4 linked regions of the Canis lupus familiaris genome follow. The protein of the gene in region 3 purifies or fractionates together with the protein of the main gene of each other region. This does not show direct contact. Links are inferred from orthologs where the notes say so. Each region holds a gene or a part of one and is shown on either strand. Other genes may lie near its edges.

The links.
Region 1: the proteins of PML (region 3) and ZFYVE9 purify together in Homo sapiens (affinity purification with western blotting; 3 studies listed by BioGRID and IntAct, with this or other methods). This does not show direct contact. The link is inferred for Canis lupus familiaris from reciprocal best matches to the Homo sapiens genes PML and ZFYVE9.
Region 2: the proteins of PML (region 3) and NDUFS1 purify together in Homo sapiens (affinity purification with mass spectrometry; 3 studies listed by BioGRID and IntAct, counting the BioPlex papers as one, with this or other methods). This does not show direct contact. The link is inferred for Canis lupus familiaris from reciprocal best matches to the Homo sapiens genes PML and NDUFS1.
Region 4: the proteins of PML (region 3) and ZMYM2 purify together in Homo sapiens (affinity purification with western blotting; 3 studies listed by BioGRID, with this or other methods). This does not show direct contact. The link is inferred for Canis lupus familiaris from reciprocal best matches to the Homo sapiens genes PML and ZMYM2.

The regions. Positions count from the first base shown.
Region 1 is NC_049236.1:9,238,257-9,242,589, forward strand, and holds the start of ZFYVE9 (zinc finger FYVE domain-containing protein 9), read right to left. Parts: upstream 2,854-4,333; 5' UTR 2,720-2,853; intron 1-2,719. UniProt on the Homo sapiens protein: Early endosomal protein that functions to recruit SMAD2/SMAD3 to intracellular membranes and to the TGF-beta receptor.
Region 2 is NC_049258.1:14,561,983-14,565,547, forward strand, and holds part of NDUFS1 (NADH-ubiquinone oxidoreductase 75 kDa subunit, mitochondrial), read right to left. Parts: intron 3,017-3,565; coding exon 2,940-3,016; intron 2,350-2,939; coding exon 2,268-2,349; intron 2,178-2,267; coding exon 2,047-2,177; intron 1,597-2,046; coding exon 1,411-1,596; intron 1-1,410.
Region 3 is NC_049251.1:37,672,274-37,676,280, reverse strand, and holds the start of PML (protein PML), read right to left. Parts: upstream 2,820-4,007; 5' UTR 2,700-2,819; coding exon 2,565-2,699; intron 319-2,564; coding exon 1-318.
Region 4 is NC_049246.1:18,126,824-18,130,388, forward strand, and holds part of ZMYM2 (zinc finger MYM-type protein 2), read right to left. Parts: intron 1,207-3,565; coding exon 1,092-1,206; intron 209-1,091; coding exon 1-208. UniProt on the Homo sapiens protein: Involved in the negative regulation of transcription.

The sequences.
Region 1 (4,333 bases), on a different chromosome or scaffold from region 3:
CACACACACACACACACAATGTCTTTAGGAATGTATTTAAGTCCAGGCAATTATCTTTTAAACGAGATTTGTGCCTTGCAACTTGTCTGTGGCCAACATATATAACAGGTGCCAAATAAAAGTTTACTGAATGGGATGCACACTGGTAGCTTAGCAACAGAAGAAGAAATGGGACCATCTTCATTCATTCTGCCTTTCTAAGGGAGTTAATATACAACTATTACTTACCAGGCAACATATACAACTTTCTCCTTACAGAATAAAACAATTATAGAATAGAAGGGAATGGAATAGAAGGGAATGATCACATATAAAAATTACTAATTCTTAAAGGGCAAGCTGTTGATTAAATATTTGAAGCTTTCTTTTTTTTAAGATTTTATTTATTCATGAGAGACACACAGAGAGAGAGAAAGAGGCAGAGACATAGGCAGAGGGAGAAGCAGGCTCCATGCAGGAAGCCTGATGTGAGACTTGATCCTAAGACCCCAGGATCACGACCTGAGCCAAAAGCAGAGGCCCAACCTCTGAGCCACGCAGGTGCTCCAAATATTCGAAGCCTTAAAGAGAGATCCAGCATGTTCTGCTCAACTCTTGTCTGCCTCGTAAGAGTTCTGTCTCCACAGTTGGCTAGTTGCTAGCAGAGAGACCATGGTCATTTTTGTGCTCCTAGAACACCAAACACAGGACCTAACACTTAATACTAATAGCTAAACTTTTATAAAGATCTTCCACAAATTAGAAAACTTTTTCAGATGAATTAACCCTAAAAGCCTTGCAAGGTAAGTGTAGTATCTATCTACATTTTATAGACAATGACTTCAAAGTCCAAGAAGAGATTAAGTGACAAGATAAGTGGCCAGGTATCCTATAACACCACAGCCACCAGAAAAGGCTGATATATGTTAATTGAATCAGCTATCCCTTGAAATATCATTTTTCTTTCTAAGATTGTAACACCATTATCTGTTGCTATGATAAATGATTGTACTGCCACTTAAGATTGATAGCTTTGCTAGAAAACAGATACTGTCATTTAGGCTTGACCAGGTTAGTTAACTTTTAACTTCGTATATCAGTGATTCTCAAACTTTAAGAGGACTACGAATTGGGGAGCTTGGTAAAAATAAAGATCCTTGGGCCACCATGATCTCTAGAAATCCTGATTCAAGGGACCAGGAATCTGCATATCTTAATAAGCACTCTCAGCTGATTCTAATGGTTGTAGTCTTTAGAGACACTTTGAGAATTGAACTAGACTTCCGAAACTTAATCTACTCCCCCCAATTATTTTAATCAAGCCAATTTTTTTTTACAGTTTTAAGTATTTAAGCAAAATCTTACAAAAACAATCCAAGCCTACCACATCTAACAGGAAAGGTCCTCAAAAATGTTTACTACACCAAACTTCTCTAGACCTCAGGAGCCTGCAGACCGACCTCAGGCCCTGCATGGAGCCTGTTTCTCTCTCTGCCTGTGTCTCTGCCTCTCTCTTCACATAGTTGATGAGTTCAACTATGACTGCAACGTAATTTAGTAAAACATTTTTGTAAGTCCTACAAAAACGACTGGATGTTAAATAGTAAAAGGGAACCAGTTAACTCTGAACCTGACAGAAATAATAATTAAACGCAATTTGAATAATTAATAAAGTAATCATAAGCCAATAACTTTTAAATCATCAACAGTACAAGCCCATTTAAAACTTTAAGTGACCATCAAAATGTACTAACTATAAGATTATGGGTGACTTTTTCCGCACTATTAAATATTTATTGAGAGTTGACACAGTAGGTTTCTGTATTCTTCGAATTTTCTACAATAAGCAGATTTTATTCACAATTATCAAAGTTCTAGAAGTACTTATTAATCCTGTAACCTTCACATACGTAATAGGAAAACAAGAATAACCTGTAACCACATTTATCATAAACCATAAACACCAAAACACCTGGCTTTAAGGTTTCAATCTGTAATCATTATTTTTCACATTAATACCAGATCACTTAACCTCTAAAATTTAGACTGTCCCATTTCGACCAGGTATGTCATTAGTGTAGTTAGCCTGACTTTTTAAAATCCCCTTGTCATCCACTCTGTGGATCTATTTAATAGGTGGAACTTCTTTGTATTGAGAACTGAGGCATTAAAATATTTACACTCTTATTAGGGAGAAGAGGGAACAGACCATTGTTTAAAAAAAAAAAAAAAAGGATATTTTTATCATTGTGAGTATTTATGTAGGAAACTTGGAGCCAAGCTAGGAGGGGCTTTCTCCAACAGCCCCGTCTCGGAGGTAAATGTCACAGGAAGCCGCAGGGGCGAGCTCGCGGCAGGTGAGGAAATCTCAGCTCGAATACGACGCAAGCGGCTGTTCCCGCCCGGTGCGCGGTGGGCGACCCTGGCAGCGGCCGCGAGGGCCGCGGGCTTCCGCGCCCCCTTCTCGGCAGTCCCCCGCCCCCACCGCGGGGCCGAGCGGCGGCCTCCAGGGTGCGCGGGCCCGGGCCGCCCGCGGGGGTCGGGGCGCGCCCGCCGCGGCCGCCGGGACCCAGGCCAGGCCGAGGGCTTCCCGGCGGCGCGGGGCCTAGTCGCCCCGGCCTCGCGCCTCGCGGGGACGCGGAGGGAAGGCTCGAGGCCCGAGCCGCGGGCTGGCGGAGGCGGCCGCCGAGCCCCTCATGCGGCGGGAGGCCGGGGGTCCCCCGCGCCGCGCCAGACTCACCTCGAGCCGCGGCCGCCGCCTCAGCATGGCCGGGGGGCCGCGCCTGGGCCGACAGCCTCCTCCGGAGGGCGCCGCCGCGACGCCTGCCGCTCCTGAAGGGCTTGCGGCCGCCGCTGCTGCTGAGGCCCAGCGCCCGCCGAGCCGCATGGGGCTCACGGGCCGCCGCAGCACGCGGGTCCCGGAGGGGCGCCGCTGAGCCGGGCCGGGCGCGGGGCGGCGGGCGGCGGGCGGGGGGCGGCGGCGGAGCCTCCAGCGTCGCCGTGGCCGCTCCCGCCGCCGGCGCCGCTGGCCCACAGCGCCCCCTGGGCCCCACGGCCGGCTACGGCGCGGGGACTGCGGCGGCCGCCCGGCGCGAGCGGCGGGGAGGGCGGGGGCTCCGGGCGCGGCGCTGCCCTCGGAAGCCCGGCCCCCGCCCCGGGCCGCGAGCGCCCGGCCCTCCCCTTCTCCCCCGAAGGTGCGCGGGCGGCCGTCACCGCGCGTTCTCGTCAGAGCGGGCCTGAGGGGCGCTGCGGGCTTCCGTCGCTCGGGGGGCGACGGCCCCCTGAGCCCTTCCGTGGGTGTGCGTGTAGGATGCGGACCCAGCGCCAACCTTGCGTCCACGCGCCCGTGCAAAACCCGCGCCCATAGCACCTGAATGGTCTTTGACCTTAACTTCTGGATCTGCTGTGCAGAGCGGTACAGAAATTTCCGACGGGTACCAGGTCCTTAATCCCAAACCGACCCCAAATTAGAAAAAAACATAATATGCCGAGCAAGAGAATAGCCAACGGGTTGTCCTGAAATTCATAAACAACTTAAAGGTAAGAACCACCCCCCCCCCGTCGTCTACGTTACCCCCCACCCCACCCCACCCCACCCCCACTCTTCCGCCCCGACCGCAGTCAGACCCCGGGTCGGGCCCTGAGGGAAGGAAGTGGGCGCGTCGCGCGGCCTGCGGAACCCTTCTGTTTGCGGGGATCCCGTGCGGCCCCCCTCAGCCTCGGGATGCACACGCCAGAACCGAAAGCAGGAGAAACCAAAAGACCGTCGGAAGGGAAGGAAATCCTCCAGATCGCCTGGGCCCAAACTCTCCAGTAACAGGACACTTTTGTCCTGGAGCGCTGTGGCGGATGGGCAAGCAGGGACCTGGCGGCGCGGGTTAGCCGGTGACCCTGGGCAGGTTACCTCCTATTTCTGAACCTGGGGTTTCTCGTGCCTGCCGTGCTGGTTGTTGTGAAAATGGGAGGTAATTTATGTGAAGAACTAGCCCAGAGAAGTAGCTTCTCAATGTTAGTTCCAGTTATTGTTGGTTCCAAAACACCCTCTCAGTCTTTCTTAAATTCAAGATTGTTCCCATCTGTTTTTGTTCTTTCTCTCTCAATCTCTGTGTAAATATATCCCTTTCAAAACATGAGTGCATCAGAAAAGGGAGGAAAAAAAAAAAAAAGATGGTGCATTGTTCTTTATTGTCCCTGGTCTGGGTAAAATTTTCCTAAATTTCATTAATGGATTTATGTAATTTCCCTCCACTGAGGAAAAATAGAGCCTAATACACTAGATGCTATAACATTCTATTGCAAAGCAGATTTTAGCGTAAAGCTAGTATACTTTTCTGTATATAAAAGTTATAAGGCA
Region 2 (3,565 bases), on a different chromosome or scaffold from region 3:
GGAAATCAGTGGTAGTGTGGCTTGGGGCCTGTTCTCATCCCCTTCCCTCCCACCTTGAACAGGTTCTATCAGGCTAGGGTAAGCTATAGAGATGGAAGTTCTTTTCTGCTTGCATTATGGGGGTCTTAAAAGAAAAAGAGAAAAATCTCTACTTAAACATCTCAGCTACGGGTAGCTCAGGTGGCTCAGCAGTTGAGCGCCACCTTCAGGCCAGGGCCTGATCCTGGAGACCCTGGATGGAGTCCCACGTCGGGCTCCCTGCATGGAGCCTGCTTCTCCCTCTGCCTGTGTCTCTGCCTCTCTCTCTCTCTCCTCTCTGTGTATTCTCATGAATAAATAAATAAAATCTTAAAAAAAAAAATCTCAGGTACATACTGTGCCCCATCCCCATAATCCTTTAATATACATAAATACGTGGTTAAAAACCTAGAATTCTAAGATATTCTCATATACTCCAGTGGAAGTTTAAAAACAGGAGGGTAATTTAATGATATATTTCTAGGACCTTAAAAATATTCAAACTCATTGCAACTACCTACTCCACTTCTCAGTTTAGTAAGAAGAATCAGAGATATAGGGACTCCTGGGTGGCTCAGTCAGTTAAGCGTCTGCCTTTGGCTCAGGTCATCATCCCAGGCTCCTAGGATCAGGGTCCAGGGATGGAGCCCCTTATTGAGCTCCTTGTTTTGCAGGGAGCCTGCTTCTCCCTCTCCCTCTGCCTGCCACTCTCCCTGCTTGTGCGCTCACTCTCTGTCAAATAAAAAAAATAAAATAAAGCAGAGATATGTAAGAAAATTTTTAACAATTTTTTTTAAAGATTTTATTCATTTATTTGAGATGGGGTGGGGGGAGGGGAGAGTGAGACAGAGAGAGAGAAAGCTAGGAGAGGGAGAAAATTTGAAGCACTCTGTGCTGAGCACAGAGCCGGATGTGGGGCTTGGTCTCACAAACCTTGAGCCAAACCTAAGAGTTGGATGCTAAACTGACTGAGCTACCTGGCACCACGATAACAATTTTTACCACAGATTTACAACTATACAGAAACAAACTAAATGTCTGATAATAGGAACTGACTAAAATATATCTGCACATGGTTGAAAACATACAATGAGGAGACTATCTTTTAAAAATCAAGCTCATTTTACTCTTTGAAAGATCAAGTGAATAAAATAATTGTGTGGTTAAGTACTTGGGAATTAATTTCCAAGAAAACTATAATTGATTTACACAGGTTCACCCTGTCCTTTAATCTATCTACTTACCTTCCAGTAAGAGGATTGTACTTAAATACATAAAAACTTAGCAGACCAAAACAATCAGAATATAGGAAGGACATGAATCTTAAATTTTTTTGAACAATGGTCAATTAAAGGACAAAAAACAAATTATCAAAAAATCAACAATGAATACCTTGTTTCCCAAGGGCGGGCAGTAAAAGCATAGGGCTTAGAGGTCAGGGCACCTACAGGGCAGATGTCAATGATATTGCCAGACAGTTCAGACATGAACATCTTTTCAATGTACGTGCCAACCTGCATATCATTTCCTCTGCCTGTTGTTCCCAAATCATCTACTCCTGCAATCTCACTTGCAAACCTGCAAGGTAAAAATGTACTGTCAAATGGTCAAATCCAGCAAAATTACCTCCTTTCCTATCTATGATCACAAAGAGATAATGATTTTCAAAACACTAAAAACACACAACTATATTTTCAAAGGTAAACAGTCCTTGAATAAAAGAGAGTTCAATAAATGTTTGTATGTTAGTTAATTGCAGTGTAACACACAGAAAATTGCACAAATCACGTATATAGCTCAACAAGTTATCAGAGTGAATGCTTACAGCTTTTGATTTGTAAATTCAATGCAAATTGATATTTATTGAAAGCGATCAATTCATTTTATTTACTTATGCAGGAAACATTAAAAACATGCCTCTTCTCCCACCAAAAAATGTTGCCATTTTTTCTATTGTTGTTATTCCATCAAATTTGTGAATATTAAGTATGTGAATGATATTCCAGAAGACAGAAGGAAAATCATTACCTGATGCAGCGAGTACACTGTATACATCTAGTCATAATGGTCTTTACCAATGGTCCAATGTTTTTGTCCTCCACAGCACGTTTTCCCTCTAAAAATCGGCTCCTATCACTTCCAAACATCATGGATTGGTCCTTAAGTAGATTGAGAGAATTAATCTAATGCTGCTAGTGAAATCAAAACCGGAGACAACCAAAAAAGATTTATGAAGTTAGACGACATACCTGCAGATCACATTCACCTCCCTGGTCACAAATAGGACAGTCCAGTGGGTGATTTGCTAATAAGAACTCCATCACACCTTCTCTGTATGGAAAATTTTAATATGTAAAATGATATTGTATCATCCTTTCATATAGTATTAAACTTGCATTTATTATCAGAAATGCCAATGCAACCATCATTCTAGTATTAGACACAATCTAAAAAAATGTTTATATAAGTCTAGGAATAAAATATCATTACAGAACATAGAAAATTATGACTGTTAACAATACAAAATTACCCAAAGTTGCTGAATGGTCTTCAGAAATCATTCACATTAATTCAAAATAAAAGCAAATGCACAGCAAAAAGAAATATAATCAGTGCCTATACAATATAGTAATATGTTACTGAAATAATCTCAGTTCAATAAGCCCCAGATTCATTATTCATCACAAGTTGAAAAAGTTACTAAATAAGAGCTGTTAGTGCTAATTCCATTCTAGGCTCAAAAGCATGAACACCTGGCTTAACCTCCTTACTGTGTACTTATTTCCAATGCTCCTATGAGCCCAACCTGCCAACTTTTTCAGAGCTTTTTACTGAATTTTTCATCTATAGGAGGTCTAAATTCTGAAATGAGCAATTTTCCACTATAGGAAAAGTTACTATGCTAAGTAACATTAAAGTACCTGGCTTTCTTAGATTTCTCTGAGTTTGTTAGGATATTCCAACCTTTCATTACTGGCATGGCACAAGCAGCTACAACCTGGAATTTCAATAAAAAAAAAAACCTTTAAGTACTTATATTTACTTATAATTATAAGCTACCCAATATATAAAAACATTAAATCTTACATTTGAAAAGAAGCAAAGAACAGTACTGTTGAAGACTCTATTTTTCAGTTTTCATATTCACAATATGATAATCTGACACTTTATATTTCACTTAGAAAAAAATAAGACATCATACTTCTAAATTCTATTCTCAGGACTCCTGGATGGCTCAGCAGTTAAGTGTGTCTGCCTTGGGCTCAGGGTGTGATCCTGGAGTACCAGGATGGAGTCCCACATCAGGCTCCCTGCATGGAGCCTGCTTATCTCTCTGCCTGTGTCTCTGCCTCTCTCTTTCTGTGTCTCCATGAATAAATAAATACAATCTTAAAAAATAAATGTTTTTATTAGCAGGTACTAAATTAGAACTGTATGAGACAAAATGAAATTAAACTGAAAGTGAACCTCTTCACTGCAATCCCTTTCTCTAGTGAAAATGGAATGGCACTTTCAATGTGCTGCTTGGCAACTCTGCATCTTAGCT
Region 3 (4,007 bases):
GCACTTGGCACAGAGGAGCTGCTCGCACTCAAAACACCAGAAGTCCGCAGGTTCTTTGCATCGGGTGCAAACAGCTTGCGCGTCCACGATCTGCCTGTAAACCGACAGGCGCCGCTGCAGGCTCTCGAAGAAGACGTTGTCCAGGGCCGGCGAGCCAGCGCCTAGAGGCCCGGGCACCTGGCAGATGGAGCAGCGCAGGCCCGATGCCTCCAGGCATCCCGAGCAGAGCGTGTGCAGACACGGCAGCAGCTTGGGGCACTTGGCTTCGGCCTGGCAGCTCTGGCAGCACAGAAACTGGAACTCCTCCTCCAGGGCTTGCTGGGGGACCAGAGAGGTGGGGTGAGGCCTGAAATCCCGGAGCCCCCCCCCAGATCCTCTGCAGGGAGCACGGCACTACGAGGCCCGGACACCCAAGGATGGGAGCATAAATCCCTACCTTCAAGGGACTCGCTCTAGAAAGGAGATACGTGAAGCGTATCTCATGTAAATCATAAACAGTGCTTAATATGGTTTGGTGGAGGGGCACCTGGGGGCTCAGGGCGTGATCCTGGGGTCCTGGGATCGAGTCCCGCATTGGGCTCCCTGCATGGAGCCTGCTTCTCCCTCTGCCTATGTCTCTGCCTCTCTCTCTGTGTGTGTCTCTCATGAATAAATAAATAAAATCTTAAAAATATATATGGTTTGGTGGCTCCTGAAGAAGTTAAACACAGGAGTACTATATAACCCAGCAATTTCATTCCTAGATAGATTTCCCAAAATAACTGAAGACAAGTAGCTGAACAGATACTTTACACCCATGTCCACAGCACCATCATGCACAGGCTCCAAAAGGTAGAAATAACCCAAGTGTCCATCAACAAATGAACAGATAAACAAAACCGGTCTACGCGTGCAATGGAGTATCATTCAGTTTTTAAAAATGAAGGAAGAGGGACGTCTGGGTGGCTCAGCAGTTGAGCATCTGCCTTTGGCCCAGGGCGTGATCCTGGGGTCCCTGGATCGAGTCCCATATCGGGCTCCCTGCAAGGAGCCTGCTTCTCCCTCTGCCTGCGTCTCTGCCTCTCTCAAATAAATAAAATCTTTAAAAAAATCTTTAAAAAAATATATAAATAAAATAAAATCTTTAAAAAAGAAAATGAAGGAAGGGGCGCCTGGCTGGCTCAGTTGGTGGAGAATGTGACTCTTGATCTTGGGTTTGTGAGTTCAAGCCCCACACTGGGTGTAGAGGTTACTTAAAAATAAGATCTTTACCAAAAATAACATAAAATAAAATGAAAAGGAAGTAAATTCTCATACATGCTATGAGAACCTTGAAAACATTAGGCTAAGCAAAATAAGACAAACACGAAGGGACAAATAATTGGATGGCTCACTTATATGAAATATCTAGCATCGGCAGATCCACAGCAGCAGAAAAGTAGAGTGGAGGTTACCAGGAGCTGGGAGAAGCGGGTAAATAAGGAGCTACTGCTTAGGGAGTACAGTTTCTGTGGAGGGTGATGAAAAAAATTCTGGAAATAGATGGTGGTTGACGGTTACCCAACATTGTGAATATATTCAATGCCACTGAAATGTACACTTAAAAACCGTTAAGTTTTTGGGGCACCTGGCTGGCTCAGTGAGCGCAGCACGAGGCTCTGGATCCTGCGGTTGTTAAGTTCAAGCCCCATGCTGGGCGTAGAGATTACTTAGAAGAAATAAAAATGTTAAAAACATGGTAATTTTAATATTATGGATATTTTCTAGAAAAAAAAAGGGGGAAAAAGTGCTTAATAAAGTACTGGCCCACGAGGAATGTTCACAAGGAAGTAGTACGATTCCTAGTTGTAATAATGCACAGAATAGAAGTTACTGCAGGATGGTGCTTTCATGAAGGGCCTGGGAAAACACACTGCATGAGATGTGAAGTAGCTCCTCTGGGGCAGGAGGGCAGCTGGGGAGCTTGTCCCGAGCAGACCCAGGCAAGCTTCCGGGAAGAGGCCCCAGGAAACCCGGAGCAGACCCAGGCAAGCTTCCGGAAGAGGCCCCAGTACACCCTTTGTGGACCCAGGGTGGGGGTGCGGGGGTGGAGGGCACACAGGGTGTTCCAACAGAAGGATCTTGGAGGTAGGTATCCTAGCGGAGAAGCCACCCCAAGAGCTGTGAGGCCTTAGCCAAGACACTTCTCTCGTCTGGGCCAGGTTCCCACTTCCTGATCTGGGAACTCGGCTTTTGGTTTTCCACACTTGGGACATGCCCCTGGCTCTCGGCCTGCTCCCCAGGGCTACCCCGCCATCCCCCGAATCCCTGGACCTTCATCTGAGGCTCAGGGGGGCAAGTCGCCAGGGTGGGCAGATGAGTCCAGGCCCTCAGCACCTTGCCCCCTGTCCGTGGGGCATGCCAGCCCCGAGGCCCCCCCAGCTCACCCTGGTACCCTTTCCCACTCTCAGCTGCCCCGAGGGTCGGGGCCCAGTGTCTGGCTTTCTCTCTGGGTCACTCTGGGGAGGTGCCTGGCCTCGCTGTCCCCTCCCTTTCCCGAAGCCATCAACCAAGCCTCCACCCCACCTCCCCAAGCCCAGTGGTACCTCCGCGGGGCTGCGGCTGGGGCTGGGCTGGTGGCCCTCGGAGGCGGGCTCCGGGGGAGGCATGCTGGGCGCCCCGGACGGTGCGGGGTCCTGCCCGGGCGCCGGAGAGCGGGGGGGCGCGGGCTCCTGCTGCATGGATCCCAGCACAGTTTCGCTTCTGGGTTTTGAGCCTGAGGGGGGAGGAGAAGCGAAACCGAGAGGCAGGGACCGGATCGCGGTCGCCGGAGCCCGTGGGAGGGACGGCCCCACTCAGGGCCCGCCTCCCCGGAGGAAGTGAGACAGAGCCGGGGGGCGGTTCTAGGGCCGGGGAGGGGGGGTCTGGAGACACGCCCCGAGCCGGAGGGAGGAGGGGAGGAGAGAAGATGCTCAGCCGACCTGGGGGTAACCCGGCCGCGGCCTGGCCTAGCGGGAGGGAGGCCGGGCCGCCCTTGGCTTGACCCCGGGCACAGACAGGAGCCACAGGTGGGCCTGCTTTGGAAGAACCCAGGTCTAAGCGAGAGCAGTCACCCAAACAGGTTTGCACGCTGCAGAGGGGCAGGCCGGAAAGGAGATCTCAGCTGGGACGTGCAGGAACTTGGGGATGGGGAACGCTTGCAACAGCACGAGCAAAGGCATGGAGGTTTGAAACAGGAGAGTCTGTTTAGAAACCAGTTTCCAGGGATGCCCGGGTGGCTCAGCGGTTTAGCGCCTGCCTTCAGCCCGGGGTGTGATCCTGGAGACCCCAGATCGAGTCCCACATCGGGCTCCCTGCATGGAACCTGCTTCTCCCTCTGCCTGTGTTGTGTCTCTGCCCCTCTCTCTGTGTGTGTGTGATGTCTCATGAATAAATAAATAAAATCTTAAAAAGAAACCGGTTTTCATTATTTTCAAATTTAAGAGGGGACCCATGAGCAGGATCAGGGCTAAGGAGATGCACTTGTTCTGTGGGCAACAGCGTGAGATTAGAACCCAGAAACATGACCCAACACGCATGTTGGGACAGTCACTCTGGCAACCTGGGATGGGTGACCTGGTCTAGGACAATGGCTGTGGGATGCAGAGGAGGGATCTGAGTCTGAGACACCAGGAGGACAGTGAGTGGAGCTGAGGGGAACAGGATGATGCCTTGGTTGAGAGTTGGAAAGGTTGGTGAGTCTGAGGCAGCGCAGGCAGGGAGTGGAAGGGGAGAGCCGACGAGCAGGTATGAAGACAGCGAGGAGAGAGCAAGTTAGTTCTTGGCTAAAGGGGAAGCATGCCAGCTCCCAGCTGGTGAGGGTAGGAAGCACAACCTCGGGCAGCTTCACTGGATGAAGGGCCCTGGCTTCAAACACCAAACCACCCCAACCACTGTATTACCCGCTGGGTACAATTCTGTGCTCAGTTCCAGCTTGGAGCGGACTAGGGATGGTGATGGGACCTTGCTCTTGTAAAGTTTATCCTCTGGGCTATGTGGGGAAAGGGATT
Region 4 (3,565 bases), on a different chromosome or scaffold from region 3:
CATGCTTTGTTTTCCATTGTTAAAGGATTTTTTTTCCAGTGCCTAAATACAGTGCCAAAGGAAAGTCTTAAGTGTTGTTCCACTGTTTTCAGGCCAAAATACTTAGTGTTAAAGTAGAACAGGGTATTCAGAAGAGCTACAGGAGAGTGTGACCCTAGCTGTTTTATCCTCCAGAGATAATCTTCTTCAACTCGAGAAAAAATTGACCCTTAAATAAAGAGAAACATTTTTAAAGAATTACAATAAATAAAACAATTTTAATTTAATCATCTAAAAAATAAAGTTAATTCAAGAACAAACTTATTCCAATCCTCCATTCACACCAGGTCAAAACTGGAATGAATTTCAGAATTCCCTATGCAGCTCTTTAAAAAAAGAGGCTAGGAGAGACACACTAGACTATGGAACTAGCATCTCTGGAGTAAGGGGCTAGATGTTTGCTTCTGTTCTTCTGTAGGACAAGCACAGAAGGTCAGAAAGGAATTTAAACCTGTAGAATTCCTGAAAAAAGATCGCTGATTTCCATTCACAAACATATTTTCTTCACACACCTAAAACAGATTTCTTAGAGAAATTTACATTACAATATTATCCCCTAGAGGCCTTATGAAATAAACATCCAGTGTCTTACTCCAGAGAAAGAGGGTCACATTTATTACAAAATTCTTCATAAACAGTAGTTATCAACTACATTCATTTCTAACTCAACAAAAGATGAACAGTAAGTTCATCAATAGGTATACTGAAAAATATGCCATCTAATTTAAATTATTCCCTAATTATTTCTAATATGCTTCCTGTAAAAATAAAAATCCCAGCAGCAAGTTAGCAATGGAATTCCTTATTTAAAAGGCATTACAGGGACACCTGGGTGGCTCAGTTGGTTAAGCATTCGACTCTTGACTTCAGCTCATGTCATGATCTCAGGGTCATAAAACGGAGTACTGCATGGGGCTCCACACTCAGCAGAGAATCTACTGGAGATTCTCTTTCCCTTACCCTCTCCCTTTGACCCCTCCTCCAACTCGCATGCATGTGTGCTCTCTAAAATAAATTACCAAATCTTTTTAAAAAAATAAAAAGAGTATTACCATCTGGAAGTATGCTGGGTTGCCAACTTCGGAGTATTTTATTCAATTCTTGCTCAAATGTTTGGTATCCTGGATCAATAAATATGTTGTCTTTTCGATTACTACCACACAAGTACTACAAAAAAAAAAAAGTTTCTTGAAGGAAAAACCAACTAATTTTAAGTAGTGAATACATTACTTATATTCTCTATGTCTTAAGAAAGAAAGAAATCTTATGTCTATGAAAAAGAGGCACAGTAATGCAACATGAGAGACTACTGGCTTTATCTATATATGTAAAAATTATAAAGTTACCAATTACTCTGTTGCCTAAAAAACTCAAAGCTGAAATACACATCTAAGAATCCAGAATGTAAGAACTGGAGAAATCTTCAGTCTGTCAGATAAAAGCAGAATATCTGGCTCTAATGCTCATTATATAGCACATGGAGAAAAAACAAAATTAGACTTTCCAGTAAGAGTAATTAAAAGAAAAATTGTGAATGGTACAGATGGGATAAAATGTTACTCTGTAGCTGTCTGAGGATCTCTTCTAGCAATCTTTGTCAGGCTAAGGCTTTTTTACTTACTGCCTCTCTTTGTTTAACTCCTGTGAGTCACACAAATTAATGACTCTAACAACTTACTATGACAAACCTTAACAGCGAGGGTTGTTAAAGAGTAATTTAAACACTAAAGTTTGCAAAGTCTCTCTCCAATGTAATCTAAAAATAAAATAATGTAAAAGTAAAATGTATGACAATAGCACAGAGAACAGGAGGCAAGAGTTGGAAAACTTACACTATTTTAAGGTTCATACATTATACATAAAGAGATAAAATAATTTGGAGGGTAAATAACTGGAGATGCATATTAAATTCTAGGGCAATCACTACAAAAAGGCATAAATAAACCAGTAGTGGAGATAAAATACAATCATAGAAAAATAACTAATTCAAAGGAGAGCAGAGAAAGAAAAACAAAACAAAATACCCCACAAAGAACAGATAGAACAAATACAAAACAACCAGGAGGACAGATTTTCATCCAATGAAAATGTGATTACACTGAGTATAAAAGGTAAACCAGGTGGCAAACTAGAGTCCTTGAGCCAAATCTGGCCCACTGCCTATTTCTGTCAATAAAGGTTTCTTGAAATACAGACAAGATTGATATTTGCATACTGCCCAAGTCTGCTTTCATACTACAATGGCAAAATTGAATGGGTACATGACACAGACCAGTGGGACCACAAAGACCAAATAAAATGTTTACTCTCTGGTCCTTTATTTAAAAAGGGAAAAAACTTGTTGGTCTAAACACAGCAAAACAAGATTGGTCAACTGGATTTAAAAAAAAAAAAAAAGGCGAAGCCTAACAATATGCTACTTACAAGACACCTTTTTTTTTTTTTTTTAAAGTAATCTCTACACCCAACATGGTACTCAAACGCATAACCCCAAGATCAAGAGTTGCATACTCTTTCAACTGAGGCAGGGAGATGCCTCAAGACATCTATTTTAAACATGAGGACACAGATAAATGAAAAATTAAAGGATGAAAAGATATATACATATACTAATCAAAAATCAGACCAGCAGGGCACCTGGGTGGCTCAGTGGTTGAGCGTCTGCCTTTGGCTCCAGGTATGATCCCAGGGTCCTGGGATAGAGTCTCACATCAAGCTCCCTGTGGGGAGCTTGCTCCTCCTTCTGCCTATGTCTCGGACTCTCTCTGTGTGTCTCTCATGAATACATAAATAAAATCTTTAAAAAAAAATCAGACTAGCATATCATCATCTGATCTAATATTAGTACTACTAATCAGAAGGAAGATTGGCCATCATAATTTCAAAATAGCAGAACAAAAATTCCTAACTAATGCCTTTCAAATAGGATGCAAACCAAGTGCCTGGCAATCAATGAAGTAACAACGTCAGAGCTTCCTCTGCTTTTAGGTTAGTCAGAGGACTGGAATTAAACTATTTTCTAAGCTATCTGGAAATTCTCAACGTTATTATTGTAGCATTAATTGGTTAAAATGCAGTATCACAATTTGATCTGTTTAATGAGACTACAAATATTTTTTTTAAGTTTTATTGTTGTTTTTTAAGTAGGCTCCACAACTAGCAGGGAGCCCAAGTTGGGGCCTAAACCCACCAGCCTGAGATCAAGACCTGAGCTAAAATCACGAGTTGTACACTTAACCAATGAGGCACCCCTATAAATATTTTTTTAAGTAGGGTCCCTAGACATTTTTAAAATGCAAATTTAGGGCACATTATAGAAAACAATCACAAAAGTGAAATCCTCATGTTTGGAATAGCAATTTATATTTTTTGTTCCTAACATAGAGCAGCATACATAATAATAAAATTAAAAAAAGAGGGAAGTGATTCTGAAATAATCTTCAACTATATTAAGTCAAGCAACAAAGGGAAAGTACTTTTTATGTACATTCAGAACTTTAACAATAACTAGCCAAAAACTATTAGG